Linked DNA regions of Oryzias latipes. The protein of the gene in region 3 interacts with the protein of the main gene of each other region in a pairwise test. Links are inferred from orthologs where the notes say so. Each region holds a gene or a part of one and is shown on either strand. Other genes may lie near its edges.

Region 1 (10,158 bases), on a different chromosome or scaffold from region 3:
TAGGACAAAGTTTCTGCAGCGCGGCAGTAATTAAAAACACCCTCAACACCGCATCCCCCATCTGTTTACACTCTCTACCGCTAGCTTACATCCCCTCACAACCCCAAACTAATATTAACAGTGCAAGAAAATATGGGGAGTGATTTTGGAGCTATCCAGCCGTCCGGTTTTGAGCCGAATGCCAGCTCATGGCAGCGTACATGGATGTAGTCGTCGGATGTATACGAATGGAGCGGATCAGGGATCTTATACGCCCGGCGTATTTTCTACACAACAAGACATATTTAATCGGGGTGGGTCTTTAAATTAACTCAAAACAAAGTGGATTTGAAAAGTGAGCAAGGTTAATATATTCTCAAAATCCATCTTTGGGACTAAGGAATAATTGACTTTAAAGTTAAATCATACATATTTATCAATAGCAGGTGAGGTTTCCCACATGTGTCGTACTACAGCCTAAACCTGATGTTGCACTGCTCATGACTGGTTTGCAGAAATTTTGCAAGGTCAAATGATTGCACCACGTTCTTTGCAGAGGATTGAACATGAAAGCAGGCTGCACGGGTGTCCTCGCACATCCCATCACACCAAAGAGCTGTGAAACCTGACAAAGCACAAACACATCACTGTAAGTCTGTTTAAAACTGCCCTCAAAGCCTTAAAAGGTCATTAATGCAACCAAAAAAGGGACAAGATCAAGTGGATTTACAGGCGCTGGTCAGAGCTCTGAGCAAATGCAGAAGGTTTTTGCCAGGAAGAACAAAAGTGAAGCCATAGTTGCTGTGGCGAGCCCTGAGGAGAGCAGCCAAGCTAAAGAAGAAAACACGTTCAGATTCTTTCAGAAGAAATGTTGAGAATCTTTTCCAGAAATCAAAGTAAATCACAGGAATGTGGGAGACACACGGTTGTTGGTTAACATTCCTAAAAACCATCATCAGGGCCATTCTTTCCTTCATTAGCTGGAGAACATTTCTTTTAAAATAAACATTGTCAAAGACAACTATGGAACCACACAGAAAACGTGAAGCTTTTTCCCCCTCAAACCTAATCCAAACTCTGAATATTGTAACTTGTTAAATAAATGGGTTGCTTTAAACACGACGCTCCAAGTGAACTCCAGCTGAGCATTAGAACAAATGCCTCCATTTCTCAGTGCCCATTAAAAAGTGGGGTCAAAACTTGGAGGTTTAGAGTTCTGCAGGCAGTGTTCAATAGAACAAAGCCTACTTTATTGTTTAGGGCTTTGAAGAAGAGCAGAAACTTTCCATTTCAACTCATATTCAGTTTTGTCAATCAAATCAGTCTGTAGGCTAAACCTCAGGCCAAAAAGCCAACAGAACTTAATCAATAGCTCCATGTAATATTATGCTTTTCCATGTCCAGCTGCTGTCTTATATAAGGGGGCAATGTCTCCCCTCCATGTTGGATGGAGGCTGCTTTTATCTATTCTCTTTCAGGCATCATTCATTTGAATCTGGAGAGCGAGGGAAAAAAATAGTAAAAAAAGAGGGTGTGATCTTAGAAACTGTTAGTCATCCTTTAAAAGCTCATTTCACTAAAGCCAGCTGCATGCCAACAGCTATTTCTCTAAACTGAGTAACAGGTTAAGGCCAGGGTTGAGCTTTGAGCAAGTATTGAATATAAACTAACAGACATTATTGAAGAAAACCACAACCGACTCATGAACCTTTAGTCATTTATTTATTTTTCTTTGACATGAATGAATCATGTTATTAATAAGGGTTGGGTAAAAAAGAAAAAGACAACTTGTAAAACGTATTCATTTTGATATTTCTTTAAGAAATTTGCTATGAATAATTAGAATCCACTCATCAATTTCCTAAAATGCCACCTTTGCATCTTTGAAAAAAGAAAACATTTTGCAATCTAAAAATGGTTTTGAAATAATAAATGAATCAAATCTAGATCAAGTGATTTAATAATGTAGTTTCCAATATGAACAAATTTAAATTAAACTATTCTGAATGGTTGACTAAACAAAATTGTAATTATATAATATACATACATTTAAAAATAAAAATGATATCAAAATGAAAAAGGGAAAAAAGCAAAGCAGTCCTGTTTATATCCGGACTATAGCTATGATATAAGCTAAAATATACACCCATTTCATAAACATATCTATCCAGAATTATAGTTTTCTTATGAAAGATGAGGTTAATTCTGTTCTTAAGGAATTAAATGAAAACGGACTCAGTGGGGATAAAAATGAAATACAATTTTTATCAAACTTCTGATATGAAAAATTAACAAGAGCCTAAACACTATCCCTTGATATTTACCTGTAACACCAATGATTTAAAGTTCATTTATGATGTCAAAAATGAACATAAAACAGATAAATTTCCATAAGATATGCTTCAGTGTGTAGTTTATACAGCCGAGGAGTACAAAGAAAACGATTTCTTTCTCAGGATGTCTGCATGCAGGACAGCACATTACATATAACCAAATTAGCATCCGCACAGAGAAATTAGTTTGTGATTTACAAGATACATTAAAGGTGATTACAAGTGGCCCAGTGAAAAGCATGGCTTTAATATTTATGTCAAAAATAGTCTCTTTACCTGTCAGCACAGAAAGAAGTGATACCAATAACAATTTATAATTATCATTAAAAAAGGAATGTGTAAAATCAAAATACTTTACCCCAAACTACCAAGACGATGTTCCTTCTGTCAATGCTGATACATTTCAAATTTTCAATTGTGATGATTTTTTTTCACTGTATATTAACGTCAATATTTTCGTCACTTTACCATCTATAATAAAGTAAAAAGTGTCAGAATTCACACACTACTCACTATGAATCTATGATTCCAAAATCCAGTGGCTTGGAAATTTCCAAGAAACCTCTGCAAAAAAACTAGTGTGCATGATGGTCACTGGATAGGCGAAAACAGGTAACAATACATTGCATTTGAACAATTTGTCATTTGAATGAATGCATTGTTTTTAAATAAATCATTAAGTTTTTATGATCAGAACACAATAGATTCATAAATAGTCTTTGTAGAATGTACATTTTTTAAGGTTTTTACTTTGACAAACGGGTGAGATCATATTTTAAGTTAAAAAAACAACAAAAAAACTACAAAAAGTAGTGATCATGGGTCCAAACTGAAGTGAAAAGTGAAATCAATGACACTGGATAGTCTTTTAAGAGGGAGAAGTGAGTGAATTCAGACAGAGAATGTTTTACCCAATTACTGCTGATGACCTGAGCAAAAGGAATTTTTTTCAAGCTAGTAACCCCTTTGTTGATGACGCAATTACTGTTATTTTTATTAAAACCACATGATTTGATTCATTATTACAATCTGCAGTTGGAACTGCAGTTTTATGTTCCTCCAAGCAATAATTATACAATTTTAAAGACCCAGTAAAGTAAAAATCCTTCACCAGAAGGTAACCATTAACCTTAAATTACCTGTTTAAACCAAAATGGATATACAAAGTTGCAGTTCAAGTTTTCTACGCTGGATCTTCATTATGAAATCTAGAACTGAGAGTTCTGGAGAATTTACACTCACATATTGTGGTTATCATTTCAAGATTTTGATGACTCTTAGCCCCGCTGATGTGAGCTGTGTGGTCTGTTTTTCTGAAAATACCCTCCGAATTGAGCTGGTATATTAGCCAGAGCTGTAAACAGCTTTGATAACTAGGAATAAATGATAACGAGCTAAACATGAACCTCTTAAATTAACAAATAAAAACATGAACCTCTTCTGCAAGAACCATGTAGTCCAGAAGAGAGAAGAAAGGATCTTTTCTACAATGTTTGGAGCTAGTTTATGATTTTAAAGTTTTATTTTTCGGTGTGTTTACCTTCAATTGCTGTCTAATTTTCATTCAGCCAACGTGGTATTTCTATCCGATTGAGCCATTAAAGATCAGACGTCCCCATCACATTCCTGAGAATCTGCTTATGTCAAACTAAAGATTCTAGATTTTCTTGTCACAGCAGTTCTTCTTCATATGCACCTGCTGCTCGTGTATTTGAACAGGCCCATCATCATCAATACAATCTGTCAAAAAAATAAGCGGATAACACTCGAAGACATTTGTGTAACCAAACCATAAATACGTTTACCAATAGAAAGCAGAAATCGAGTATAGTGGGGACATGTGAACCGCGAAAATAGATGTGGTCAAACTAAGAGTCAACAAGCTCTGTCTACGCCATTTGAAAAATTATTACGAGCTTTAGCTTCACGCTATCATGGCCCTGTCTAATATTAAGTTTAAATTATTCCAAAACTAGTAAAGATAATGTTTCAGAAACAAAAATAATTGAATGCTACGACTTATTTTTATGTATACTGACACGAAAAAACAGGCTAACTTGCTGTCGTGACAGCTGTTTGTAATCTTTTCTAGAGGTGTAGCCAGTTAGCATGCTAGTTAGCGGCTAACACCCCCACCCTCGACGCAAGCAGACAAAAGGCCCAACGTCTGCCGGTGTCAACAGCTACTACGGCACCGGGGTGAGGGGGGGAGCTAGTTACGGAACGACCGTTTTTATTTTTCTTATTTCTCTTTTTGGTTTTGGTTCGGATGTATTAAACGGGGGAGAAAATCGGAGCTGTCATCCCACCCCTTGCGTCTCTGCTTTTACCACGTCATTGGACTATCCAACACTGCGGAAATAGCCGCTAACTGAAAGATAGCCTACCGCTGAGTCTAGCTGGCACTTGATGCTACTTACCTGTGTCTCCGATGATGATGTATTTGAAGAGGTACGCGTACGCCATAGCACCTGCTTTGTACAGTCAGCTTTCTTAACCGTTACACCTTAGTAAAACGGGCCGTGAACCGTATCAAATGAGTAGCTGACAGCTTGTTTTTCTCTGTCGGTGCTCAGGAAGGAACAATAAACAGCTCGAGCTTCAGCTCGACGTCATACGCTCCGCCCTCGCCACGCTACACAATGATGCGTTCAAGGCATGCTCAGGAGTTTTGTCGTGTGTGTTCGTGTTTGTGATTTTTTTATATCTCGTTTTGTTAATATATTATTAAAATGCCCGTGATAAGTTTTGTGAAAGTTTCCTTCAACCTTTTTTTCACATTAAAGATTAATGCTACTGTTCTTCATAAGTAATTTTACAACAGATTTGTACACGAGTCCTGAATAGCATTAATACTTTCATTAAAACCTGCAGAGGTAAAACATGATGTAAAATGAACAATGTACAACAAACTGCAATTAACTTATATTATCAATTTAGGGTATAACAATGACTACTCATAATAGTATTTACTTTAGTAATGTGAAAGTCCTGAAAGCACAAAAGAATGAGCAACACCCAGCTTTGGTCAGTTAGTTTAATCCACAATTGTAGGCTGTGTATTTAGAGAAAAGGGAAAACAAGGACCAAACAGAAAACGTAGTGCCTGTGTGGCTCAGAAAAACTAAAAAAGAAAAAAATACAATAAAAAGAAGAAAAAGATACTTACAAATAACAGACTAAAACATCTATGTAAAAAAAAAAAGGAAAAAAACATGACTCCACGCAATTATAAGGAGAAAAAAAACGTGCTTGGGTCTATACAGGGTGAAGATAAAATCTATAAAACAAGTATTTGGTCGAAAAGAAATGTCCCCTCAGTATTTGTAAACCCTCAATGACAAAGTATTTCCTGGAAATATTCAACAGGCTTGCACTGTAGCGGCTATTTTGGTCCGTTCTTCCTTACAGATCTTCTCAAGAGCTGTGATGTTTTGGGGCTGTTGCTGTTTAAATTCCCTCCACAGATTCTCTATTTTGGATTGAGATCCAGAGGCTGGATAGACTACTCCAGAACCTTGATATGCTTTTTTTTTGTTGCCACTCCTTCATTGCTTGGACGATGTGTTCGGGATCACTGTCATACTGGAAGATCCAGACATGCTTCATGCGAAATCCTCTCACAGAGGGCCTCAAAGGAGGCTTTTGCCCAAAATCTCACCATACATTGCCCCATTTATCACTTCCTTAATACGGATCAGTCGTCCTGCTTTGAAGAAAAGCAGCTGCAAATCATGATGTTTACACCCCCATGCTTCAGAATAAAAAGTTAGATTAAAAATGATTAATATTATATAAATAACCTTTTATCATTTAATTTATTTATTAATTATGTGATGTCATCCCGACATAGTCTTCCTGATAACAAAAATACATTGTAATATCATGCGAACTAATGAGAATTGTATGATTCAAGAAAAAAAAATTAACAGAACAAGGAGCACAAAACTCTGTAGGAACCTGAACTGAACGTTGGTGTTGTTGTTTTTTTAACTTGCAGGGAACCAGAGGGATGTCTTTGGCACTGAAACTGCAGCTGTGGTTACACTCACACCACTTGATGGCAGCAAGCATGAAGAAACAGATCTCTCTCAGGGCTAGAGTCACTTTCACAAGTTGGGACTGTAGCAACCAGGTTTGCACCTCACTTTATCGAGCTGTTTGTGTTTATCTGATGGAAAACTAAAATTAAATCCAAGTATAAAAATGAGTATTTAAAAGTGCCTAACTTTGATGTGAAGCTGCAGTAACAACTTAGTTTTTCAAAATTTTTAAGAAAAACAACATTTTGTTGATTAAATCTTTACACGAAAAATATGTTTTAACAAAAGATTGATAAAATAAGTTGTCTGCTGACTGTAAATTCTGATGTGAACATTGATAAAAAAAAACCAACAGTTTCACTTCTGTCTTTCCTTTGAATTGATGCACATTTTACAAGAAAACTGAAAACTTCAGTAAGGTTTTTCTTTTCTTTCCTGAAAACATGTTTTGAGTATTACACACCATACTAATTAATGCATATTTACATGTTTATGAACTATAAATGGATCATTTTTAATCTCATCTTAAGTCTTGTCTGCAACTTTATGCTAAATATCCCCTCCAAAAAATTGAGGGATTTTGAAGCCTCTTAATCAATCTATTGTCAGAGTTATTGTTAATTTACTCGATTAGTAGTTACAATTTAAAACGCTTAACATAAAAGTCTTAGTAAAGCCAATATAATATGCCCTTAAGGTCTATTTTATCTAAAGACCATCTGGAGGTGTATTGAGTCTGAAGTTGACCTGGTTTATTTCCTCAGTGAACTGAAGGTTTCAAGTTGCAAATTGTGGCCTCGTTTAGCAAGAACAATACAGCAGAGAGTAAAAAAAAAACAACTTGAGACCTCAAGAGAATGGTCAACTAAACAAGATGTTTTGTCCAAAGCAATGTACGATCCGTGTGAAATACTTGAAGAAACCAGACATAAAGGTGCCTGCTCTTCTTTTAAAAAGTTACTGTGGTTCAGATTTGGTTCAAACATGTGAAGAAATCACACATTTTGTTTTGGGAGGTTAAAAAAAAGGGTGCATGTCTTCATTTAGATGACTCCAAGGACCATTTCCAGATAAAGAATGTAGGGCAATTAACATCAGCAGCCTGGAGGATGTAAGATTGACAAAAAAAGAGCCATGACTAAATGAGGTAAGTAGTGATGTCTGATTTTTGACTTTTTTTGCTTTAAAATAAAATCTGATTTTACCACCATTATCAAATGATAATGTTGCTTTGACTTCATGGTGATCTCAAATCATGGTGGATAAGATAGAATCTTATGGAAGTTCAAGAAAGGAGAAGTCTGGGGTTCATTTTTTCAATATAAGGTTATTAAAGACTCACTCAGATGAAAATCGTGTTATTTGTGTTGTTAATAAGCTATTGGGACATTTTTCTGACAATTGATGATATATATTAGGAAAGTTGAACACAAAATTCAGTATTTTTTTTATATGAACCATTTTGAATCAGGAACAGACAGAAAAAAAGCAATTTGAAAAAGCTTGTAAGTGTGACGCAGAAGCTACAACCAGCAGGCCACAAGCTCTCCGCTCTGCTCCATTCTGATGCATCAGCTTGTAGACATATGCAGATGCATGTCTTTGTTTTCCTCGTCCGGCTGGCATCTGGCTCAAAACTGTACGGCTGGATAGCTCCAATATTGCTTGCTATTATTGTTGAACTAGTAATGTCAAGTTGGGGTTGTGAGGGGCTGTAAGCTAGCAGGAGATCGTGTAAACAAATTGATGATGGGGAGTGGGGGTGGGCTTGCTCTGCCCCAACAGTCCTGCCACAGAGGTGAATTTCTATTGAGGTACTGCCTCTCTGCAGAAATGATGTTCTAGAAAACGACACTGTTTGAAAAAATTATTTTAGCCAAAACAGCATACCGTAATAATAATTAAAAGACCACTGGGAAGGCTTTTAAAGTAGGTCAGAATATGATCGGCGTGGGACTTTACAAGCTTACAGCCCCTCACAATCCCAAGCTAACATTAGTGGTGCAACAAAAGTACGGAGCTATCCAGTTCTGACCCAGATGCTCAAGGAGAACGAAGACGTAAATGGATTTAATCGTCTACAAGTGGAGGCATCAGAATGGAGCGGAGCAGGGAGCTTGGAGCCGGCCAATTGTAGCTTCTACATCACGTCTACAAGCTTTTTCTAACTGCATTTTTTGTTTGCTCCGGATTCACAACAATTTGAATAAAAAAAATACTCAGAAATGCAGCTTTGATCCTAATTTTCTTTGTATAACATTTTCTAAAAAAAAGAAAGAAAAACGAAAATGTTACTTAAATTAAATTTTTTATATCATGAAAAATGTGTTAAAAGAACATGTTAAAAAAAAAGAATATACCTTGGAGTGGTTCTTTAAAGTGGGAAAACAATCAGGTTTCTCTCTCTATCATCCCTCCATCCCTTTTTCCATGCAATTTCCTTCAGCCAGAGGTGGGTCTACAGCTTCCAACAGAAACACCAACATGACCTTCCTGCCAGCATTCCAACACATAAAAAGGGCAACAATGGTCAAACGACAATGAATTACAACTCCCACGACAACACAAAATGTGAAAATTTCTGACATGTAACTGTATGTTTTTATTTATGAATAAAGTTTGCAACTTTGCATGGGAGGAGGTGTTGAAGAATCACTTTCATTTTTGCAACGAAGGCAGAATGACCAACGCCTGACAAGAAAGAGAGGAAGAAAGAGAGCCAAAGAGAGATAGAGCACGGGGAGGGGCATCAGAGGGTAGAGAGAAGGAGAGCGGGCGGCTGTGCGTTCCCACACACATCACTTGCTTCTCTCAGAAAGACAACAGAACAGATGAGGAAAGGAGGTCAAGAAAGAAGTCAAGACTGAAGGAATAAAGACAAACGACAAAAAGGTATCTCCCTGCCGGGATCCTCCAGGGCAGACTGCACACACATCAGTTTGTGAGTGGACAACCCAGCGTGACTGGGACTGTACTGGGGGAGACAGGCTGCCAAACACCATGGCTGACAGTGTGAACGAGGAGTCCGATTATGTCCCAGGGAAAGATGAGCTTGACTGGGGCTATGAGGAAGGTAAGCAGACAGTCCCCTCATGGAAGAAGGAAACATGTTAGTTTTAAACTTTTACCTGTCTGACGTGGCATCATGGGGTGTTCAGTACAAATGGGTGAAAAGAAGATGTGCATTCTAACAGAACCCCAGTTTTTCACATGTAACAGTGACTTTTAACCTTGAGTAGTTGAAAAATGTTGGACTTTCTGAGGAAAACTTCAAGCAGACATTTGGATGGTGCTTTTTTTGTGCATGCTCGACCGGAGGACTCAGAGAAATCCTCTGAGATTTTTTAGGTTTGGCTGTGCAAAAGTCTCCCTTTCAAGGCTGTTCAAGTTTCACTGTATTTTTGTGTCACAGAACCAACTCGGACTGTAATGACTCTGCTTCCCATTTTTTAAATTCCCACATCTGATCCAGTTGGACGCACGATAAGTTGTGTGAACTCACAAAAAGAGTGAAATATCTCATTCAAGTTTTTATCCAAATGTTTTTAGGGCTACACAGGAATCTGCTGAAACAATGACCTATTATTATCAAATGTAAGTCAATACCAATGGGTTTTGCAAAGGTGAAAAATATTAGGACACTGACCTATCATGTAAGTAGATCTTCATATATAAAACTGTTTCCTCAACTGGATGTACTATCTAACCAACAGAGAACAACCCTCAGATCAGCTAAAGTCATTCTGCTTTCTTGGGACTTTTGTTTCTTTTGGAAGGAACCTCAGACCTCTTCAGTTATTACG
Region 2 (10,381 bases), on a different chromosome or scaffold from region 3:
AACTTGATTTGACATTAAAAAATATTCAACATAAGCTTCTGATTGTAATGTAGTCGTCATTGCAGTTGCTCCAATGAGCACTAGGGGCGCTGAACGTCTAAAAACAAAGTAAAAATATGGTCATGTAAAAACCGTTGTGGTTCTGCATCCTAAATCATTTCATGGATGTTCTGTTTAATAAAAACTGGCTTTCAAAGATTTCTGAATCTGTCTTAAAACATAACCACGGCGTTTCCATGGCAACCATGTAAAGTTTATGTGCATAAAGTTTTCTAAACAGTAAAGCGCCGCAGTACCAAACTGATCTCTAAAACCAGACGTGGCCAATGATCGTATTATTGAAATGACATTTGAACTAAACTCAAATCACAGATTTTTCTTAAATCAGAGAAAAACGCGCCGATAATGAACTTGGTTTTTGTGATTTATCATAAGTGAGGTCAGGTTCCTGTTTTTACCCACAAACAGTTGGAGCATTTTCCTTTCATGGCTCCGCCCCTCCATCGGTCATGTGACAGCTGCTCTGCCGGAGGAACTTCAAAACATTTAAATTGATGGATTCTTCTCTAAACTAAAAATTCCCATGGAAGCTGGCCTTCATGTCGAGCGCCTCCTACAGTCAAACTGACATTACCACATCAACTAAAAAAAAACCTGTTCATCGGGTGACCACAAGGGGGCGCACTGGAGCACCGGGGAGGCCCCAAAACATCCAATCCCATAGATTCTGTCTGGAGGTGATAATCAGTTCTGTGGGGGCGTGGCCTTTTGATTGACAGGTGATCTATGACAGCCTTAGGGATTATATTAGCTCCTCCCCCTCATGGTCAGTGAACCCCAATCTTTCCAATACTGTGACACTCTAAGACTTCAGTTAATAAGTTGACTGTCACTCAAAGGCCACGCCCCCATTCTAAACCAATCGGTTTGATGAGAAACATTTTTTATAGAAATATGGACTCCAACCATGAAATGAAGGATCTTTTTGGAACCGGGGGGGAAAAGAGGCTCTTCTGTTCTGAAGTTGGAGGGGATCTTTTTACCAAACCCCCTGGTGGTCACCTGGTGAACTGACCAGGTTCCACTTTCCTGTCAGCCTCAAGGCCGCTCAAAGTGGAACGAATCGGTCACAGACGCAGGGGGTTGGCGCCGGCCGGAGAAGGTCCCGTTTCTAAGCCGGTTCCTCCACGTTCTCCCAGCTGACCTTTGGTTTCCATGGAAACCAGAATGAAGGCCTTTGACGTGGCGACAGAGACGCCTGCAGGTGTTTCCCGGCTGCAGACGTCTGTGCTGCGTCGTATTCACGAATGTGTTCACAGGAAGCCTGAGGAGCTTCTGTCCCGCAGCCAGATTACATTCAGGACGCCTTCAGACCGGAGAACCCGTGATTTATTCCAACAACAATCATAAATAAAACCTCTGAAATGACGGCGGCGGGATTTGCTTTTTCCCAAACGGCTCCAGGAAGCAGCTGAGAGGTTCTTGTCCAGCATTTGGACCCGAGACGTAAAAGAAAACATGAAGATCAAACAAAGGTTCTTTTCCAAAAGAGAGAAGAAGAATCTGCTGCTCGTCCCGACGCCTCCTGTTCAGCATCAGGTCAGTGCAGCGACAGACCGCCGCGGTTCGCCGCCGCCGCGGTTGAGTTCTCTTAAGGCAAAGTGTTGAGAGTTTGTAAAGCAAAAATATGAAAATATCTTCTGTCCAGTAAAAATATCATCTGTCAGGAAGCTCCTGCTGCAAGGAGGCGGCGCCTCGGCTCATTGGTCGTCGTCAGAGTCCTGGCGGCTGGCGTGGACTTCCAGCTCTTCGGCGTTGATCATGTCAGGACTGATGGCGGCGAATCTCGTCCCGTGGAACTGCCGCAGGTGAATCTGAGGAAGAAAGGGATCAAACTCGCTGAACTGCAGTAGAAACATCTGGAGGCGTTTCCCGCTCCGGCGTGCGGCGTCACCTGGATATAGAGGTTGACCTCGGCGCTCCGGCACAGGTACGGGAAGTTCCCCCCGGTCTTCAGGTGAGCTCTCCTGGCGTTGGGATACAGTTTGTACATCTCCTCTTTGGCCTCCAGCGACAGAGCGCTTTGGTCAAACACCTCAACAGGAACAGGAAGTGACAGTCAGGCGGCGGCGGCACTGATGGTGAGCGCGGAGCGGTGGGGAGGGCGGGAACACTTACATCTATGATGGTCACAGCCACGTCTTTTATTTTGTGCGGCTCCACGTAGGAGTTCTGACAGTTGAGCGTTAGCCGTGAAGCTAACTCGCTTTGGTTGAGACTCTCCAGCTGCAGACGCACAAGAGGAGAAGCTCAACAACCGGAACACAACCGCACAACAAGGACGCCGGCTTGGTTAGAAAATCCCCACAGAGCTCAGAGACGGTCCGCAGCAGACCGCCACGGCGTCCACGTACCCGGTCCACCATGAAGTCGATGCCGTCGGCCATCTTGGGGTCCATGGGTCCTCGGGCAAAGTTCCCCAGAACGATCTTCTTCAGCAGGAAGGCCGGCATGAGCCAGAAGCTGAAACAGAGACAGACGTGAACGCCAGAAGACGGCAAGCTCCCCCTGCCGACGAGCGGAGAGCGCCACCTGTTGGCCGTCCACGTCTGGTTGAAGATGGAGGTGTCGCTGAAGGAGTTGCACAGGACCAGCGAGTGCACTCTGGGAGACTTGTGGGTGTACTCCGCAAACTTCTGGGCCAGGAACCCGCCCAGTGAGGCGCCGAACAGGTGGACCTGTGAGGGGGAGGGGGCACAGGAATCTCATCAGTCCACGCCCCCACGGGTTTGGACCCAACACAGTTTCACCTCAGAACCACACAGGTACCTTGTCCAGCTGCAGGTGATCCAGGAGCTTCCTGAAGCCGTCGCAGAACTCCAGCAGGTCCCAGTAGACCGGGTACTGCAGCTGAAACCAGAACAGAGGAACCGTCAAGTCCAGACGCTCAGGGAAACGCTGCACCATCCGTTCAGGCCGGACTCTTCATCAGAACCTTCATCAGCGACCGGAATCAACCGATGCGGATAAATGACATGTAAACATAAAGGATTGAGTTAACGTGAAGATGTGCAGGAGAACAGGATGAACCTGCTTACCGAGATGACCCGGTACCCCCAGCCCGTCAGGGCCAGAACCTGCTGGAAGAAGACCTCGGCCGTCCCGCTGACCGGCGGGAGGAAGATGATGGGACAGCGCACGCTCTTCGGGCCGGCGTCGTACAGAGACCACACCTTACTGTCGTCGTCATCCACGATGATCTGGAGGAAACAGGAAACCAGAGAACTCGCCTCAGAGAGGGCGGGGAACCAACGGAACCAACGGAACCAGAAGAGAACGCTCCAAAGAAAGAAATGCTAAAATCTAAAATCACAAAAGTTTAACAAAAGAGGAAAAATGTGAAAAGTGCAGCGAGAAGCAGAAACATGCCAAACAAGGCCAAAAAAAAGCAAATACAAATGAATCTCTAAATACTACGAAAATACAACAGCGTCATGACGGTCCATAAAGGGTTCGGTTGTTTGTTCATCACACGGGTTCTGTTGTAAAAAATAACCTGCGATGGATGAAAATGGCGGCGTTAGAGTCTAGATGTTTGAAGGCAGAAAACTCCTGACTGAAGACTTTCTAGACGTTTCACTCTGACAGGTCAGACCTTTGGAGAAACATGAGACGATAGCAGGAGAACAACCATCTGATGGGTTCTGTTCAGGAGACGGACTGACGACAGCCAATCAGGAAGCAGAACACTAAACGATCAGCAGCACAAACGTCAGAAGTGAACCGCGACCACAAGAAGAACTCAAAAGGCCGAGTTCAACCAAAATGATCAACCGGAGCCAAAGGCTGAAAAACACCAACTAAAAAAAGAAAAAGAAAATTCTGCATCTTAAAAAGCAAAACCAGAACAAATAGCATCCAGTTGAAGAATTCATGTGCTAACAGCTAAAATGTTAGCATTGACGCTTTGTTCTATGGCAGCCCCTCCCACCAATCAGGAGTGAGCTTGTTGGAAGGCCACGCCCCTACCACTGGAAAGCTGTAAACGTTTTGAACACTGGACAAGGGGGTCAACAGGCTCCGCCTACTTTTATTGAGGCGTCTGATTGGCCAGTTAATGACTTGACTAACTTGAGATACAGGAAAAAAAAAGAGTTTTATCAAGTAGATGTTTAAAAACAAAAAGGTATCCGATCCAGAACGGTTCTTCTGACCAACAGAATGACAGCTGTTGATTTGCAGATACTTCCTGTTTGTAGCAAAGGGGAGGGGCCCCTCCGTCCAGTTCCGGTATACAGTCAGTGGTAACAAAAGAATCTGCAGAGAGGTTTTTCTGAAAATCTTAAATCCTTCAGATCAAACTTGTCTGGGGGGTTTTAAGCCGTGCTGCCAGAAGCTGACCTGCATCAGTCACTCAACCTCTCTGTCCCAGAATGCATCTCTCCTGAAGTGCATGAGTGAGCAGAGGGAAAACGAGTGGATTCGTGCCAGTAAAAGCAGCACATGTGATGCCCGTGTGAAGCTGAGGGAAGCATGTGACGGCTGGGTGATGAACGCCGTCACATGACTCTCCACCTCTCAGAGCCTCAGCAGCAGCGGCTCAACCTCCAGCTGCGGGAACCAGCCGGGTGTCGGCTCCAACGCCAAACAAATCCCCATTTTTAAGAGATCTGTGAGCTAAAAACCCGACGGGAATAATCGTCTTATTCCAAAAGACAACGCGAGCCGTTGTTCCACCAAACAGCAGATCCGAGGACCAAACCCGTTTTCTGAAAGCTAATCTCATCTTAATCCAAGAGGGCGATCCGTGCCGCTGAAATCCAGCCTCAGATTTCTCATTTTCACGCAGAACTCAACACAAAAGTCATGAACTAAAGCAATCAGAACGATTGTTTAAGCAATAATTGACCACAAATCTTGAAAAAAACCTAACAAACTAAATGCAGAGACGCCTGACACTCATGAGGGGATTTGTGAGGTTTAAATTAAACATCTTTAGCAGAAAACGTTGTGATATTTTCTTAGACTAAAATAGAAACACAGCTGTCAGGCTCCAAGCTTCCTTTTTCCAAGGTAAAACCTTTTTTTTCTGCTGTGGAATGAGATGCAGAGTCTTCCTACTATATTCACTAACCACAAAAACAATGTTTACAACAATCTGAATGTAAATAAAATTTGAAAAAAGACAACATTTGAGCAAAATCATAAAAACTTTATGATTTTATCAAACATCTGTTTGAGCGGAGCTTCATTTTTCCAAACTGTGGTTCTCCAGAAAAACCATAAACCAGTTTAAAAAGTGAATACAGGAAACAGGTGAGACAGAAGGGACAAAATGAAAACACGTAATGGCGAAGGGGCGTGGTCTAAGCAGTGCGTTCTTGGTCTTATTTTGTTGTTTGTCAACTGTTTTCATGGTGATTTTATTGAACAGAAGGGAAGCAGGTCACAAGATCAAGTATTAGTGCATAACATTTGTAAAACGTTTCTTAGACAGCGTGACAAGCTAACGTGTGCTTTAGAGACCATGATACTACCACCACCTGTCAGCTTAAAGACCACGCCCTCATTTCCATATAAAGTAATCCTCAACCTTTGAATAGGAGGGCTTTAAAACCAGGTACGGTAAAGAACACGGGCGCTAAAGCCACGGCGATTAAAGGGTTCATTTACAGAACCAACCGAATTCTACGACAGAGTCAGTCACAAAAGTCTGGAGGACATTTCACAGCAAGCCTCCTCCGACTGTAGGTTGAGGCTAGTAAACAGAAGAAGAAGAAGAAGAAGCCCCTCCCTGCAGGCGCAGTGTGAACACCTGGTCTGAACGGTGTGCATGTAGTTTCAGAAAAATAACCTCTCTGGGTTTAAGGAGTTCAGCTGTGTTTGTCCTGAAGCTCGGTTCTGAACAGGTTCGGCTCATCAGAACCTGAAGGTTGATCCAGCAGGACAGAATCCCGATGACCCGTCACGGAATGGACCCCTTCACACCTGGGGTGCTTTTGTATCACGTGACCACGAGAGCAGGTGTTTCATAAGAATTTCAACGCGCGCGAGCGTTAGCCCTCATCGCATCGGCGACGGTCCAGCTGCTCCGGAGTGAGGCGCGTGACGAGGCGGGAACTTACCCTCTTAAGTGGCACGGTGCTTCGGAACCAGTTGTAGTCTGGAGACACCTTGATCTCCTCCATCTGCGGACACAGAGACGGTGACTCAAGTGTGTGTGCGGGGGTGTCCGGGCTCAGCTGCTTCCGCGCGGGGGCAGCTGTTAGCCATAATAGCGGCTAGCTGCTAAACGAACCCCGCGGTAACCCCGTTAACGGCGTAGAAACCGACCGCCCCGCCAGCCCCACTCACCGTGGACGTCACCGTGTCAGAGCCCACGCCGCTGCTCGGTGAAGGGTCACCGTGTCCGGAGACGTTTGTCCATGTCGGGTAGCGCTTGGAGCGGCTGCAGCTCGGTCATGTGATTTTCCTTTCACACACTTCCGCAAGTAGCCTCTCCGGTGCTGCGTTCGCGGTCGCTCTGAAAATCCTGTTCTCCGGCAGTAAGAAAGCCGCTTTGGTTTCTTAAGTCTTGCTTAATTTCTGTTGTCGTTACAGTTTTCATCCTATACAATGTAGCACTCAAATGTATTCAATGTTTGTCTGAATATGGAATCAATAGAAATGTAAGAAGACATTACAGACTCGAGATTCTTTCCACACAAAACCCAACGAATCTCCGAATCCCCGTTTTTCTCAAACGCATCGGTCAAACCTCAAGGTAATTCTTCTCATAATTTTAACTTCAGTCATCAAAATATTTGGATGAAAAACTTTCTAAAACAAACTTAATTCTTGAATGAAATGCGTTTTTGTTCGTAAATTGTTCTGAAATTACAATTCATACAAGTAAAATGGAATAATTTACATCTTCAGTGTGGATCAGTCTTTCATTGAAATCCTGTCTGTTCTCATTTTTTTGTGGTTTAACCTGGACAGGAAACTGAAATGACAAGATGTGTAGATTGGTTCCGTTTCCCAGAGCGGTGTTGGTGTGTCGTTCAGACTTTGGCCCCCATCGGTTCTCCAGCTGTTTCTTTAAAAGCTTCATCTGAAATCGTTTAACCACCTCCAAGTGTGTCTGACGTGACGCAGAGAAGATCAGTTATGGAAGGTTTAAACTGCTTCCTCAGGTCGTCCCCACTGTGAAGGTCAGTTTATTGGAAATGTTTTCTTCCCATTTGGAACTTAAAGGCAGCTTTAAAGCTTGTGAAACATGAGCGTAACCCCAAAGTGAATTTATTTACCCTAAACTGTTTAGCTGTTTAACAAACGTTTGATAATGAAGATAAAAAGGAGGAAAACCACAAAAAGACAACAGTAGAAATGATTTTTTTACCAAACTTTATAAAGTTGAGGGAAGTCCTGGAGCCCCAAACAGACTTAAGGACACATTAAGGGAAGAAGCTGCATCAGATTCTCTTCCAGGCACATCAGCGTCTCAATGACAAACGTTTTGGCAGTGAAAGCTCCAGAAGACAGAAGAAGTGCTTTAAGACGTTGGAATCTCCCATCCGACACATGCAGAACGGTCCTGTGCAGCAGCGTTCTGCACTGCTGAAGGTCTGAAGGATGGACGCATTTGAACTCATTCACCAATGTCCAAAGGTCAAAACCTTAGTGAGGGGGCGGGGCCAGAGCCCAGACCCACTGTGGTTAGTCTAGAACACGTTTGAGTCTCCTGGAAAGTATCAAACGTACAGAATCACAGAGAGCAGAAAATCCCACTAACCAATCCCTGCTCAGAATATGAAAAGCCCCGCCCACATCACACAATTTAAAGTAAAAAAAAAAAGTACCAACAGATGTAGAAATACACAAGTCGTGTATTTCTACTTTTCCCTAAAGGTATAAATGCACATTTGGATGAACGTTTCCGTCCGTTAGTCCTTCAGCTGCTAAGCCGATGTGGAAGTTTGAAAAAGCTGGAAGTTTTCTAAGGTGCTCAGTGTGAAAACACACACAAACACACACATTTAACGCTGTGACACATCAGTGCAGAAACACCTTTGCTTCCATGTCAAGCAGGTAAAAACGGCGACTCCACGGCGGAGCAAATCTTCTCCAGACTGGAACACGGCGAGCAGAGCGGCGACAGCGGCACGGAGCCTAGAACTGTTCTGACAGCAGCTGGCAGAGCCTCTGGGAGACGGAGTCCCTGCTGGTCCGGAGGGTGAGGCGGTACATCTGGGGACACAGTCACGCATAAGCATGGCCACCCCGGGGAGGTCAAAGGTCAGAGTGGAGGCCGTCTTACCTGCGCGTGCGTGTTGGGCTCCAGCCGGAGCAGGCAGCCCACCTGAGCGCTCTTGCTGTGAATGATCCCGGCTCCCACGAAGTTGGCGGGGTTTGGATCCACGCCCTCCAGCAGCGCCACGCCGAACCCCAGGAGCTGCAGGATTCGCACAGGAAGCGGGTCAGACGTTTGTGCAGCGCTACTGACTGTCCCACAGACCCACAGACCTCTGCAGGGCCACACAGACTGGTTTCCATGACGGTGATGGCGTGGCATGATGGCGGTTAACCAGTCAAAAATAGACCTAAAGTCTAAGGTTCGTGGTTGAAAGCCAACCAAGACGGTAAACGGCGAACAGTCACACACTGATGGCGGCTCCACTGCCAAACGCCAACCCATAACCACCAGGAGCTATGTGGGGTTCAGTGTCTTGCCCAAGGACACTTCAACACATGGGTTGGCAAGGCGGAAATCGAACCCGCAGCATTCCAACCAGAGGTCGCCCGCCGTACCTCTGGACCATGGCTGCCACAAGTGACAGGACCACGCTGACGGTATGGGCGTGGCCACTTTCAAGGTCCTGTGCTTGCTACGGCGCTGACCATGAGCTGACAGCGGTCCTGCAGGTGAGGGGCAGGTCCTCCTCACCTTGGCTTTGGCGGCGTCCGTTTCCATTGGATGTTGAGCCTTGAAGATCTTCTGGACTTCCTGCTGGGGTCTGAGGACACAGTGAAGGTGGAAAATGATGGACAGAAGGTGCAGGTGAAACGCTGTGACGTTTCAAACCAACATGGAGAAAGCTTCAGCACCAGAACCTCTGGCCAGGAAGGCGGGGCCCGTCGTTAGCATTAGCATGTGAGGTTAGCATCAGCTGAACTAATCGGGTTGTGATTGACATGGGGAGATGGGGGCGTTCCCACAAAAACGTCTCCAGATCTCAAACATCTGAATAAACTAAAGTTTCAATTCTCCTCTCAGGCCCCAAAAGCAGAATCTGATGGTCTGGAACCAGTGAAAACGTTTTAAGGCGTGCTGATGGAGGTCAGAGGTGAGGACGCTTACGCTCCAAGCTGCTTCCAGCGCTGGAAGAAGTCCTGGGATGTCATCTCTGTGGGCTGAAAAAACTTGTTCAGCATCACAGGAAGTTTGACTTCAATGTTCTGCAAAGTCCCAGCGTATCTGCTCTGGCATACAGAGTCAGAGGTTAGCACGTCTGTCCGGGGCCGGGCCTTTCACAATAAGAGCGCGGCTAAACACCCACCTGAACTGGACGTTGAGCACGGGGACGTCAGAGAAATCTGTCACGCACTCGATGTTCAGGACCTGCTGGACCTGGGCTCCGCCCTCGATGACGGGCTCCACGGCTTTGGCGTGGACGTTCAGCTGTGGAGGCGGCGGTCAAGGTTCCATCTGCTCGGGGCTGGAGGGCGGCGCCGGCGTCCTCGGGGATCGTAAAGGATATGAGTCTTCAGGACGTCGCTGCTGCTCACCCACGAGCTGAAGCTGAGGAACGAAGACGACGTCTTGTTGCCGTAGAAGACGTAGATGCGACCTGGGAGGAAGAGAGAAGGACGTTCTGCTGGGTGGAAGGTCAGAGGTCATGAATTCCTTGCCTACCCACTCTATAGTGCGTTCTCCATTTCTAGTGCCGTCCGAATCTTCAAATTCCCAAATCCAAAGCCCTGGAAATTTCCCACAAGTCTCTGCGATAAACCAGTGTGCATCGATGCTCACTAGGGTCGTGTCTGATTTCCCGCCCTAACTACTAAAAATCTACAAAGTGCGGCTCTATGTAGAGCCCTGGACGCTCACTACTATTTTCTTTAAACAGCAGATATGACATCATTGATTTCAGGAAGTTACAATCTAATTAATATGAGCGTTTTATTTATGATCCACTGTCTTCTGAAGATAAAAACGTTGATGGTTTATTAAAAATTACATTCAAATACATTTTTTTGGTAAAAATTGTTCCGACGCAATGCATTGTGGTCTATATTCGCCGATCTAGTGACCATCGATGCACACTGGTTTTTCAGAGACTTCGGGGAAATTTCTAAGGCTCTGGATTTTGGAATTGTAGATTCAGACAAACTAGAACCT
Region 3 (10,316 bases):
AAAGTTAAATTAGAGGGAAATAAAAGTACTAGACGTAAATTAAATTACTAAAGTTAGTTAACTTAAATTATTTTTCTACCTGATAAAATGGAGCTACTACCAACCAAATGAGAAAAACTTCTCCTTTTCGTTTTTCTAATGCAAACGACAGAGAAAATGTATCGGGCTGTCACGACCCCATGCCATCTCTGTTTATGGAAACTTTAACCTTCATGTTTCCCGTTGTGCTGATATTTCATGTGTCCATTCTCACATCTTTTTATCTTTATTTCCAGTCTAATTAAACAATTTAAGTTTTGTTTGCATCCTGACCCGTTTCTGTACGAATTCTAAGACGCGTCTTCTCAGAGGAGACCACATGACTACACTTGAAGTGTTTTTTTGGTTTATTTATGTCAGCAATCTGGATACCTGTCACCCAGCCCTTGTAAAACCCCTGCTCTTCCTCGTGTAGGGGCCTTGTGTGCAGCTTTTGTGCAGTTTTTTTTTTACCATTTAAAGAGGAAGGTGTGAAAGACGCCCTTTCTTTTATGCCGTTGACAGGAGGACTGCCTTCTCATGCTGTTTTGTCACACTTCCAACTATGAAATAATGTAAGCCTTGGGAAAAAAGAAAAAAAAGTGGGCGTGACTTAATCTGTCAACAGTTTTTCTTTATAAAAAGGGACATGTGCTGTTTATCATTTACTGTAACTGGATGGATGAATAGGTGAAGGGAGCTTCAGCAATAATCAGTGGTTTGCTGGTGTTTTGTTGCCACATGCCTTACAGAAGAATTAAATCCTATTTCAACACCTCTCATCTGCTTCTCCCACACACAAACACACAGCCTGTTTGTCAGTACAAGACGAATTCAAGCTATAGGGTTTTTATAATGTCCATTAATTAATAAAGATGTGAGGCAGCAGCAACTAAAGGTTTTTCCCACTTCTCTGTCTTTCAGGTGCAACGGCCAGTCAGTGATAACTATTATCAGCTCAAATCCACAGCATCCTCTCCCGCCTGACTCTCCTGACTCTTTGAAGAAGCGGCGCATTCACCGCTGCGACTTCTCAGGCTGCAACAAAGTGTACACCAAAAGCTCCCATCTCAAAGCCCATCGTAGGACGCACACAGGTGAGGCGGGTTCTCAGCCATTTGTGGCATAAGGACGGCTCCTGTTTGTCTCGTCTTCAACAAGCGGTGTCTTTTTTCCCGTTCCGTGCAGGTGAGAAGCCCTACAAGTGCACGTGGGAAGGCTGCACATGGAAGTTCGCCCGCTCGGATGAGCTGACGAGACACTACCGCAAGCACACGGGGGTCAAACCGTTCCAGTGTCCGGACTGCGAGCGCAGCTTCTCCCGCTCCGACCACCTGGCTTTGCACAAGAAACGCCACCTCCTCGTGTAACACCTCGATTAAGTAACCTGAAAGAAATTCTGGGCCAGGTTGGACAGTGCTACTTTGACCTGAAAGGGTTAAAACAGCTGGCCTTACACAATGGACTCTGACAGAAGGTGGGAAAATGTTCCTCGGGTGCCTGTTTCGACCTTTTTTCTTTTTAACTCAGACTGAGCGAGAGCTTTTGAAAGCTGTCAGCCCTGTGATCAGCTGTGGAAGGTCCAAGAACTGTTTTTCTTTTTTTTGTTCTTTTTTAAGAGGTGCTGCTGCTTCTTAGCTGGCCTGAGAGCAGCGCCCTCTTGTGGCTACAAACCAAATCCCATCAACATTCCGTCAAGCCTCTGTGCACCATCAGCTATCATTCTCTATAAAGTTCATGTGATTTTTCCACACAGGCCAATAAAATGTGAAACTTTTCCAGAATGTATCATATCACACCGTCTATGCATTGTGTCATACTTCAGTCTTTTTTGCTGTCACCAGTGGATCTACCCGGTGACCCTCGTTTCCACTTCCTCCACGGACTGCCACGTTGAAACACCACACACCTCATCTGCCTCCGAAAGCATAACATTTTGCTAAATGAAGTGATGATCAGTAGTTTCGCACTTGCTTTCTCTTCGGTATATATTGCGTAAAACACATCAAAAACACTTGCACTTATTCAAAGTAGCTTTGCCGTAATTTCTTCATGCTTCGGGTGAAAAGAAAAAAGTGGGTCTCATTCATTGTCAGAGTGAAGTGTTTATGAATGCTTTTCTTTCAGAAATGTGAAAGTTGTTGCATTGGGGCATTATTTTGTGAGTGTGGGACAAAAAAGCATCACTCAGTTTGATGAGGGTAGAAGAAATGTTATTTTTTACCAATTACAGATTGATGTATCTATGAATTTTGACCGTGGTATCTGTTTGTATTGAATGACACTTTTTTATGCTAAAGAAAAATGATCTAAGCAGGGAAAATTTCTCAAAAAAATTTAGTTTTTCAGGAAAAGTAGTGTTTTTTCTTCTTCTTTGATCCCACTATAGAGAAAATTATGTGTTGAAATCAAGAGTCTAAAGTTTTTACTACCAAATGTCACAATAGGAAATGTTCTGATTTGAAAAAATCTGTTCATTTTTTTACACACCTGGAGAATAAAAGAGCGTATTTGTACATCTCCAACGTGCACTTTAAGTAATTTTATATGTATAAAATAGCATAGAGGTATATAAATCAAGAATATTGTCATTCCCAAGGCCAAACATTTTAATTCCTCTGTTTGGGTTCCCTTTTTTACCCTTAATTTGATGATCAAATTGATCAGAAATGTTCATCAAATTTGTCAAGTTCTAATAATATAATGCCTGTCTGTCATTTATTCATATGTATACAAATTTACATACAGAATGTAGCAGCTCAAGTGTTCTGCATTTGCTCCTTAATACAGTTTTTAATTGCAGTTTTTTGCTTTTTTCATTCTGCACATGTAAGTTGTGATATGTTATGATTGATTATTAAACAGAAAGGGCAATTAAAGGTTTTTATTAAGCATGATTTTATATTCAGAAATTTATAAGATGTCTTTAATAAACTATTTCTCTTTCTACTCTGAACTTTGTTCAAAGGGAACTTTATTAAACTGTGAACATATAACTGTAAAGGTCTGTATGCCATTTTATGTTTTTAAATTGAATATTCTTATTACTCAATAAACCTATTGGTAACATTTTCAAGACTGTCTATTTTTGTTATCTGTTATTGCCATTTTATTTGATTTTTTATTGGGGGGGGGGCAGATCTTGTTACATTATTTTTTAATTCCCACCATAAATTTTACACATGTCATTGAGTTTAGAGCGTTGTCTTCAATCTTAGAGCGTTAGTATTCATTTTTCCCAGACTTGAAATAGATTTTCTTGATTCGTTAAAAGTCAGAAAATTGGGCTCGTCCGGGATTTGAACCCGGGACCTCTCGCACCCTAAGCGAGAATCATACCCCTAGACCAACGAGCCGTCGTGCTTTGCATCAGAAAGATCAGGATACAACTAGTCTATCTATGATCAACTGTGATGAGTGCGTGTGCAGTGCCTTTATTAGAATTTTTTCAAGTACTGTAAATATCTATTAGGTCGGTAGATGTTCACAGTAAACTTTATCAAAATACTGACCTAAATTTAATTTCAATGCAAGTTAAATACGGAGATATTGTGTCTCATTATGTTACCTGTATTGTTAATATTGTATTTTTGATAAAGTCCAGTATCTCTAAACATTAGCATTCTGTGAACGGAATGACAGAAACTCTTTAGTAAAGATGTTCATCTTCCGGAAGTTAAAAAAACAACCTCCAAAGCTGAATAATGCACAACAGTTTACGTGGTTATGTTTTTTTTTTTTTAATTAAGGGTATAACATTACAAAAGAGCTAAATAATACTTTGAATTGCGTTAACTGTCTATTTCACTTTGGACTTTGAGCAAAGTTTATATTTGATGCAGGGAACTCTCTTGGTTTGTTGCTCTTCGGTGCCGTCACTGTGAGCAGCCTGCCGACGTGGCGGGGCGGAAGAGGAGCCGCTGTCTGGCACCGCACGGTGAGCCGCTCTGTTACTTTCTCCCTAATAACACCCGATTTTTCTGCTCTACAACGCTCGTTTGTCTGTTTTAACTGCAGAACGCAAACTTTTTCTTAACCTAACTATGTTTACCAGTTAGTTCAGTGCACACCACTTTTGTTAAACTCACTAGATTTCAAAACAAAAGTCATATTTCATAACACATTCATGAAAAACGAGGCTTTTCTGTGTTATACTTTTTCTTCGTATTTTTTTAATGCGTTTTCGTGCTGTAAATGTTTTTTTATTATCATTATTCAAGGTTGCTACGGTACCTGCAAAATGGCTTACAATGATGTCAAATGTATGAAATTGTTTATAGTTATAAAAACGATTTAAATACATTTCAAAATAAATGTAATAGGTACCTTTTCATTTGGTCAGTAAACTTCCTGTCTTGGCACAGGATTATGAGTATTATTCTTATCTGCGTAGGTTTATTTTGTTTTTGCTGTCTACAAGTTTTTACAAAGTTGAACAAAAATATAAATAATACACATTAACGTTGCTGCTTTTAAACTAAGTCACATGTACAGTTTATCAGAGAAGCAAACCTGGCTATTAATTTTTATTTATTTAAAGCCTGTAACGACTAAACGTGCACGTGGTTAAAAACATTGTGTGAGTCCTGCATTTACAGTATGTGGTCAGCAAATGGCGCTATTGGCCATTACATTTATTTTCATTTGGTTTCATGCGACTTTCATTGCAAATTCACGTCATCTATTATAAAATTATTCATCTTTTCAAATTGATTGGAGCGTTTTACATATACTGTATAGAAAACACACCAGAATATAATTTGTGATTTTTATTTATTTATTTTCAGTTTAAAAAATAAAGCCTTAAAGGCTTTTTATGTGTTGAAAAAGTTCTTAATATTGCTGTTTTTTTTAATATGACAATGCTGATAGGTCAAGTGATAGTGCTAAAGACACTGACATAAAGAAAATGGTTAAAATGTTTATTTTCATTGATTTAGTGACATGTCTGTTTAGTTTGAACTTTGTGCCAGAGGCCCAAATTCTGTAAACAAGCCTCTTTTCTTTTGATTTGTTTAAATTTTTGCAAATTATAAATCTTTAAATTCTTCTTTCACTTTTTTAAAACAGTTTTTACTTATTTTCAGACTGATTTTGTTTTTCCCAGAGGATTTTGATATTTCTGTGTCATCTGTTAGATGAGTCAGATGAAACATCTGCTTTTTTAATTCCTTCATGGTTTGTTGGGCATTTTTTAAATCCAATGCAGAGCTCCCTTTTCTTTGAATTTTGCTTAGAAGTTTGTGTCTAAATCATCATAATCAATTGTTGTATTCAATTCTGTCTCTTTTTAGAATTATTATTTAGAAACCAGTCTTAAATCGTATGTAAAAAGCAGACTTTTGTAGAGAAATTATTTTAGATAAGTACAGATCACTGCTTACAAGACTAATACAAAAACTAAATCATTTTTTTCCAGATCAAAATGTCTCAGGACAGCCCCTCTGAGGCAGAACTCCACAAAGATTCCAGTCCTCCACTTGTCCAACCTCTCTCTGCAAATCCTGACCCCTGTCAGGATGTCCCATCAGGCCCTGCAGGTCCCGTGCCTTCGCTGGGGCTGGAGCCACCTCTCCACCCTGAGACTTTGAGCATGCCGCATCCTGTTGAGGACACAGTAAGACAGGACACAACTACCAAGACGGACACATCCGAGCCAGCGGCAGAGGGTCAAGTGACCGAATGTAACCAGTCAGTGAGCCTGGAGCCAGATGCTGAGGCTGCAGAGGAGGATGAACAGGTTTGTGGCTGGATCTCCTCCATTCCAATTGATGTCCTCCACACACAAACACCTGCCTGTCGTCTTGCAGACAAACGTCAAAATATGTGTTCAATTTTACACATGTAATCTAGTTTTTAACCAATCGAATAGAAACAATTGCTGAGTCATGCTTTGTTATGTACATGTGTGTGACTGTGTGTGCAGAATTCTCTTCAACAGAAGGAGAAAAGTTGGGGAGGCTGGAGTTCCTGGGGAAAATCTCTCCTAAGCACTGCCACCTCCAGTGTTGGTATGTTTTCTGTGCTCCTCCTTTTAAAACGGCTCAAGTTTGGACATCATTTGGTCAGATCTTTTCTTTCATGAAGTATTTCAAATCCAGCCCTCCTCCATCTTATCTCCACGTCGTTTATTTGCAGGCCAGAGCTTGACCTCAGTGAAAGTGAAGGCAGGAGAAGCTCTTCGCCTCCACAGAACCTCGGTAGGAGAGGAGGCGCGAGAAGAGGAGGAAGGAGCAGAGGGGAAGACGGATGGAGCCGGGGAGGTTGAGCCATCCGGCGCAGAGGAGTCGACGTCTGCTGATGTCCCGAGCAGGGGCGTTTTCTCGACCATCTCACATGCGGTGCAGAACACGGTGAAGAAACGCAAACGTTGAAGCAAGATCACACAAAACCAGGGTTTACAAATTTTACAATACAAGCTGCTAAAATATTCTTGCTCCTGTGATCTTTAGCCTTTAGCCTGTGAACTTTCAGGCTAAAATTAATAAGTACATAAAAAAATGTCAAAATGAGAACATGAAAACTATTGTAAGAGCTAAAAACCCATACTGTGTTTTATATTCTAGAACAGTGTTTTTCAACCAGTGTGCCGCGGCACACTAGTGTGCCGTGGGAGATGGCCAAGTGTGCCGTGGGAAATTGCCCTCATTAACTGATCTAAAAACATTTTCCATCTCCAGGATTTTAGCTCTTTGTTCATCCAAACAGGCCCTGATAAAACACTGAGGAGTTAGGAATATAAAAGATCGTAAAATACCTTTTCTTTGCATTTATTTTATTTTATTAAAGACATTTTGATAAGAATGACGTACCGCGATTCAGCTGCACCTTCGGCTGTAATTTGGAAAAGTCCCGTGTTGGGGGGGTTAATCACATGTCATCGGTCTGACCAATCAGAATTGCTTAAAGTCTTCACTTCCTTGTCCCGATTTAGCTCGTAAAGTCGCTCAGTTCCGACAGAAATACCAGCTAAAGCTCGTCTTTAGCGGTGTAGCTTTCCACAGAATCCGGTATCAGACCGTGGAACAAGTGAACAAAACAATGAAGCTCCGAAAACCGATCTTCGGCCGTTTTATGCACTATATTTCCCATGATGCATTGGGTTGTGAGAGTGACAGCGCAAAAGGAGATCTGTTGTTAAACGTCTTGAAACTAACGAACACACAAACTGTTTTTAAATCTTCTAACTTAACTTTTATTGCATCTTTTAGAAAAAAACAGCTGCAGTTTCCAGCTTTTTCTGTAACAATTATCTCAAAAATGCATGTGAGACTGTGGAGGGAGGGGCTGTAGATCAATACAGACTGAGTTTCTCCTTTTTTTTTAATTTTTGGATGCTGGTGTGCCGCGGGATTTTTTTTAAGGTTAAAGTGTGCCGTGGCTCAGAAAAGGTTGAAAAACACTGTTCTAGAATACTTTTTAATGTAGAAAAAAGACGGGTCATTTGTGATCTGTTGTTGTTTTAATATTGTATAAAAGAAAAGAAAGTCAACACAATTTATAATTTATTTGAGGTTGTTGTTTTTTTTTAAATACATATTTAATCATAACCTTTTTTTTTAAACAATCTTTTTTGTTCCTTTTTCTCCTGAACTCTGTTCTTAGGGTAAGTCGGTGATCAGTGGAGGTCTGGATGCCTTAGAGTTCATTGGAAAGAAGACCATGAACGTTCTTGCAGAAAGTGATCCAGGATTTAAAAAGACCAAGACTCTAATGCAGAAAACCGCCTCGCTGAGTCAGGTATGCAGACGCTTAGTCATACCACTCATTCACAGAAACAAAAAGCTGGTTAAAAAACGAATGAGGAAGGTGTGTGTTTACACGGACAGAACAATCTGCAGTTAGTGATTTGTTTATTTGTAGCTTTTTATCTTATAGATATTGAAGGAAGCCAAGGAGAAAGACCAGGAACGGCTGAGTAACCAGCCGACGAGTACGCCCACCGCTCACTACAGCATTCTCTTTGATGAATACCAGGGCTTGTCACATCTCGAAGCTCTGGAGATCCTCTCCAACGATAGTGAAGCAAAGGTACAGTGTGAATTAGATATTACTTCAAAATATGCAACACATTCATTTTTGTGTTGGTTCAGCTCAAAACAACACAGTGTTTCTTGTTGGCTCAAATATTGAAATATTTTCTCACATTCTCAACGGAACAGCTCTAAAAATGTTCTCGCAAGAAAAATTTAGTTTTTTTTGTCGGTGCACTGTTAACAATATTTTTGTTACTTTATGTTCAAACTGTGGAGCCCTAAGCATGACATAAACATTATAAACCCATTCCTCAGATAAATACAATTTGTGGCCATGAATTAGTATTTTGTGACCATAATTTTGCATTTTGTGTCCATAATTTTGCATTTTGTGGTCACAAATTAGCATTTTGTGGTCACAAATGAGCAATTTGTGGTCACAAGTAAGCATTTTGTGGTCACAAGTAAGCATTTTGTGGTCACAAGTAAGCATTTTGTGGTCACAAGTAAGCATTTTGTGGTCACAACTTAGCATTTTGTGTGCATAAATTAGCATTTTGTTGTCACAAAGTAGCATTTTGTGGTCACAAGTTAGCATTTTGTGTGCATAAATTAGCATTTTGTGGTCACAAGTTAGCATTTTGTGGTCACAAGTTAGCATTTTGTGGTCACAAGTTAGCATTTTGTGGTCACAAGTTAGCATTTTGTGAGCATAAATTTGAATTTGTGGTCACGTTAGCATTTTGTGTGCATCAATTTGCAATTTGCAGTCACAAATTAGAGTTTTGTGAGCACAGATTAACAATGTGAAGACACTAACTAGCATTTTGTGTGCACACATAAGCTTTTATTTTTAAATAATAATTAGTATTTTAGTATTATCAGTTCCTAGTACTTTTTTGTGACCAAAATGGTCATTTGTTGCCACAAAAACTAATTTGTGACCACAAATTATTAATTTGAAGGAACTTTATTTTGGAATGTCATGTCCATAGCTCTGTAGTAAACGCGTGCCTAGTTGCCTCACGTTCACAGTGCACTCTTTCCTTATATCTGCTAGGTCCAAGCATTCCTCTCCTCCCTTGAGGAAGAAGATCAGGAGAAGGAGAAAAAGGAGCTGATTTTCATCAAAGAAATTTTCACCAGACAACAGGAAGAAGGAGAAGTAGAGGAAGAAGAAGATGGAGGACAGACGAAGGATAATGGTGATCTAAATTCCCAAATACACTGTTCTACCCCCTTATGTGAGTGAGCAGACCAGCTGGAGGTAGATGATGTCTCTGAACACTGACCCAGGATTAGGCTGACTTTAGTCAACTCTGGCTGTTGATTTAGTTTTACTTTTCACTGTTGATTCTTTTTTTTTTCTTTTCTCCAAACCCTGGACTAATACATTTTCATTGCAGCCTTGCATTGGTCCTGTATTGCTGCTGTGATGTACTGCAAAGCACCACATCCCATCATATTTATGGGTTTACATCTAGAGTCTCTGGTTGCATCTGCACTCTAACAAAATTTTTACCAAAGATTTTCAGAAAACTAGCAAAAATCAGGAAAATTGTCAAAAATCTAGTTTTGTCTTTTTTTTTTTTAGTTCACCGTTTTTGCAGAATTCTGGTATATTTTAGTTTATTTTTTGTATTCTAAATTTAACACAAAAGCTTTACCAAACACCTGATCAAAAAATAATTGCAATTTTATTTTCTTAAAGTTGTACAAAAATTTAGGACAAATGATCAACTATGAAGCAAAGTTGGAGCCTTACTTTGTCTCTCATTGTCTCAATTGGGCTGGAGTGTGCAGTGAAACTGAAGGTTATGGTAAGTGTTATCACATCTCTGGAGCCTTTAAACATGTGACACTGTGGCAATGTCAAAGCCCTGCACGTGGTGGCAGATCCCAACCTCATCCAGTGTCAGTGTTCAGAGGCAGCTGCCATGTTTTCACCTCAAGGACAATCACACCCAAATAGTAAATGTGCATGTGTGTCAGAATAATTACTCAGCTGTAAATGGAATTGTGACCGATTAGTTCATTCATTTGGATTTGAAACAAGAATCAATTGAAAATCAAGAGGAGAGGGAAATTATTCCATTCTGATTCCAGCATGGGGGAATCGAACCATCATCACACGTGCATGCCATAACATGAGTAAGTTTAACCTGTGTGTTTTTGTCAGCTGCGGACGGCGAGGAGTTTGTCAGTGTTCTCACTGAGCTGCTGTTTGAACTTCATGTTGCTGCGACACCAGACAAACTCAACAAGGTGACACACACGCACACAACGTCGCACTGATTTCAGTTTTATTTTGTAGACTTTAAA

What was found.
Region 1: the proteins of fam114a1 (region 3) and rab2a interact in binary tests that used the Homo sapiens proteins (3 or more experiments, as listed by UniProt). The two-hybrid records come from large-scale screens. The link is inferred for Oryzias latipes from reciprocal best matches to the Homo sapiens genes FAM114A1 and RAB2A.
Region 2: the proteins of fam114a1 (region 3) and spg21 interact in binary tests that used the Homo sapiens proteins (3 or more experiments, as listed by UniProt). The two-hybrid records come from large-scale screens. The link is inferred for Oryzias latipes from reciprocal best matches to the Homo sapiens genes FAM114A1 and SPG21.

The regions. Positions count from the first base shown.
Region 1 is NC_019875.2:20,926,369-20,936,526, reverse strand, and holds the start of rab2a (ras-related protein Rab-2A), read right to left. Parts: upstream 4,952-10,158; 5' UTR 4,779-4,951; coding exon 4,733-4,778; intron 1-4,732. Other genes in the region: ca8 (carbonic anhydrase-related protein), read left to right, coding at 9,964-10,158.
Region 2 is NC_019861.2:37,276,840-37,287,220, forward strand, and holds spg21 (maspardin), read right to left. Parts: upstream 6,489-10,381; 5' UTR 6,355-6,488; intron 6,189-6,354; coding exon 6,126-6,188; intron 3,261-6,125; coding exon 3,099-3,260; intron 2,911-3,098; coding exon 2,830-2,910; intron 2,739-2,829; coding exon 2,593-2,738; intron 2,524-2,592; coding exon 2,415-2,523; intron 2,287-2,414; coding exon 2,179-2,286; intron 2,096-2,178; coding exon 1,955-2,095; intron 1,875-1,954; coding exon 1,761-1,874; 3' UTR 1,372-1,760; downstream 1-1,371. Other genes in the region: AP-2 complex subunit alpha-2, read right to left, coding at 8,152-8,229, 8,300-8,434, 8,927-8,996, 9,341-9,457, 9,540-9,663, 9,741-9,830. UniProt on the Homo sapiens protein: May play a role as a negative regulatory factor in CD4-dependent T-cell activation.
Region 3 is NC_019859.2:12,930,269-12,940,584, forward strand, and holds the start of fam114a1 (protein NOXP20), read left to right. Parts: upstream 1-3,847; 5' UTR 3,848-3,955; intron 3,956-5,437; 5' UTR 5,438-5,443; coding exon 5,444-5,758; intron 5,759-5,944; coding exon 5,945-6,029; intron 6,030-6,156; coding exon 6,157-6,371; intron 6,372-7,623; coding exon 7,624-7,758; intron 7,759-7,896; coding exon 7,897-8,049; intron 8,050-9,054; coding exon 9,055-9,238; intron 9,239-10,173; coding exon 10,174-10,259; intron 10,260-10,316. Other genes in the region: klf3 (Krueppel-like factor 3), read left to right, coding at 943-1,115, 1,207-1,388. UniProt on the Homo sapiens protein: May play a role in neuronal cell development.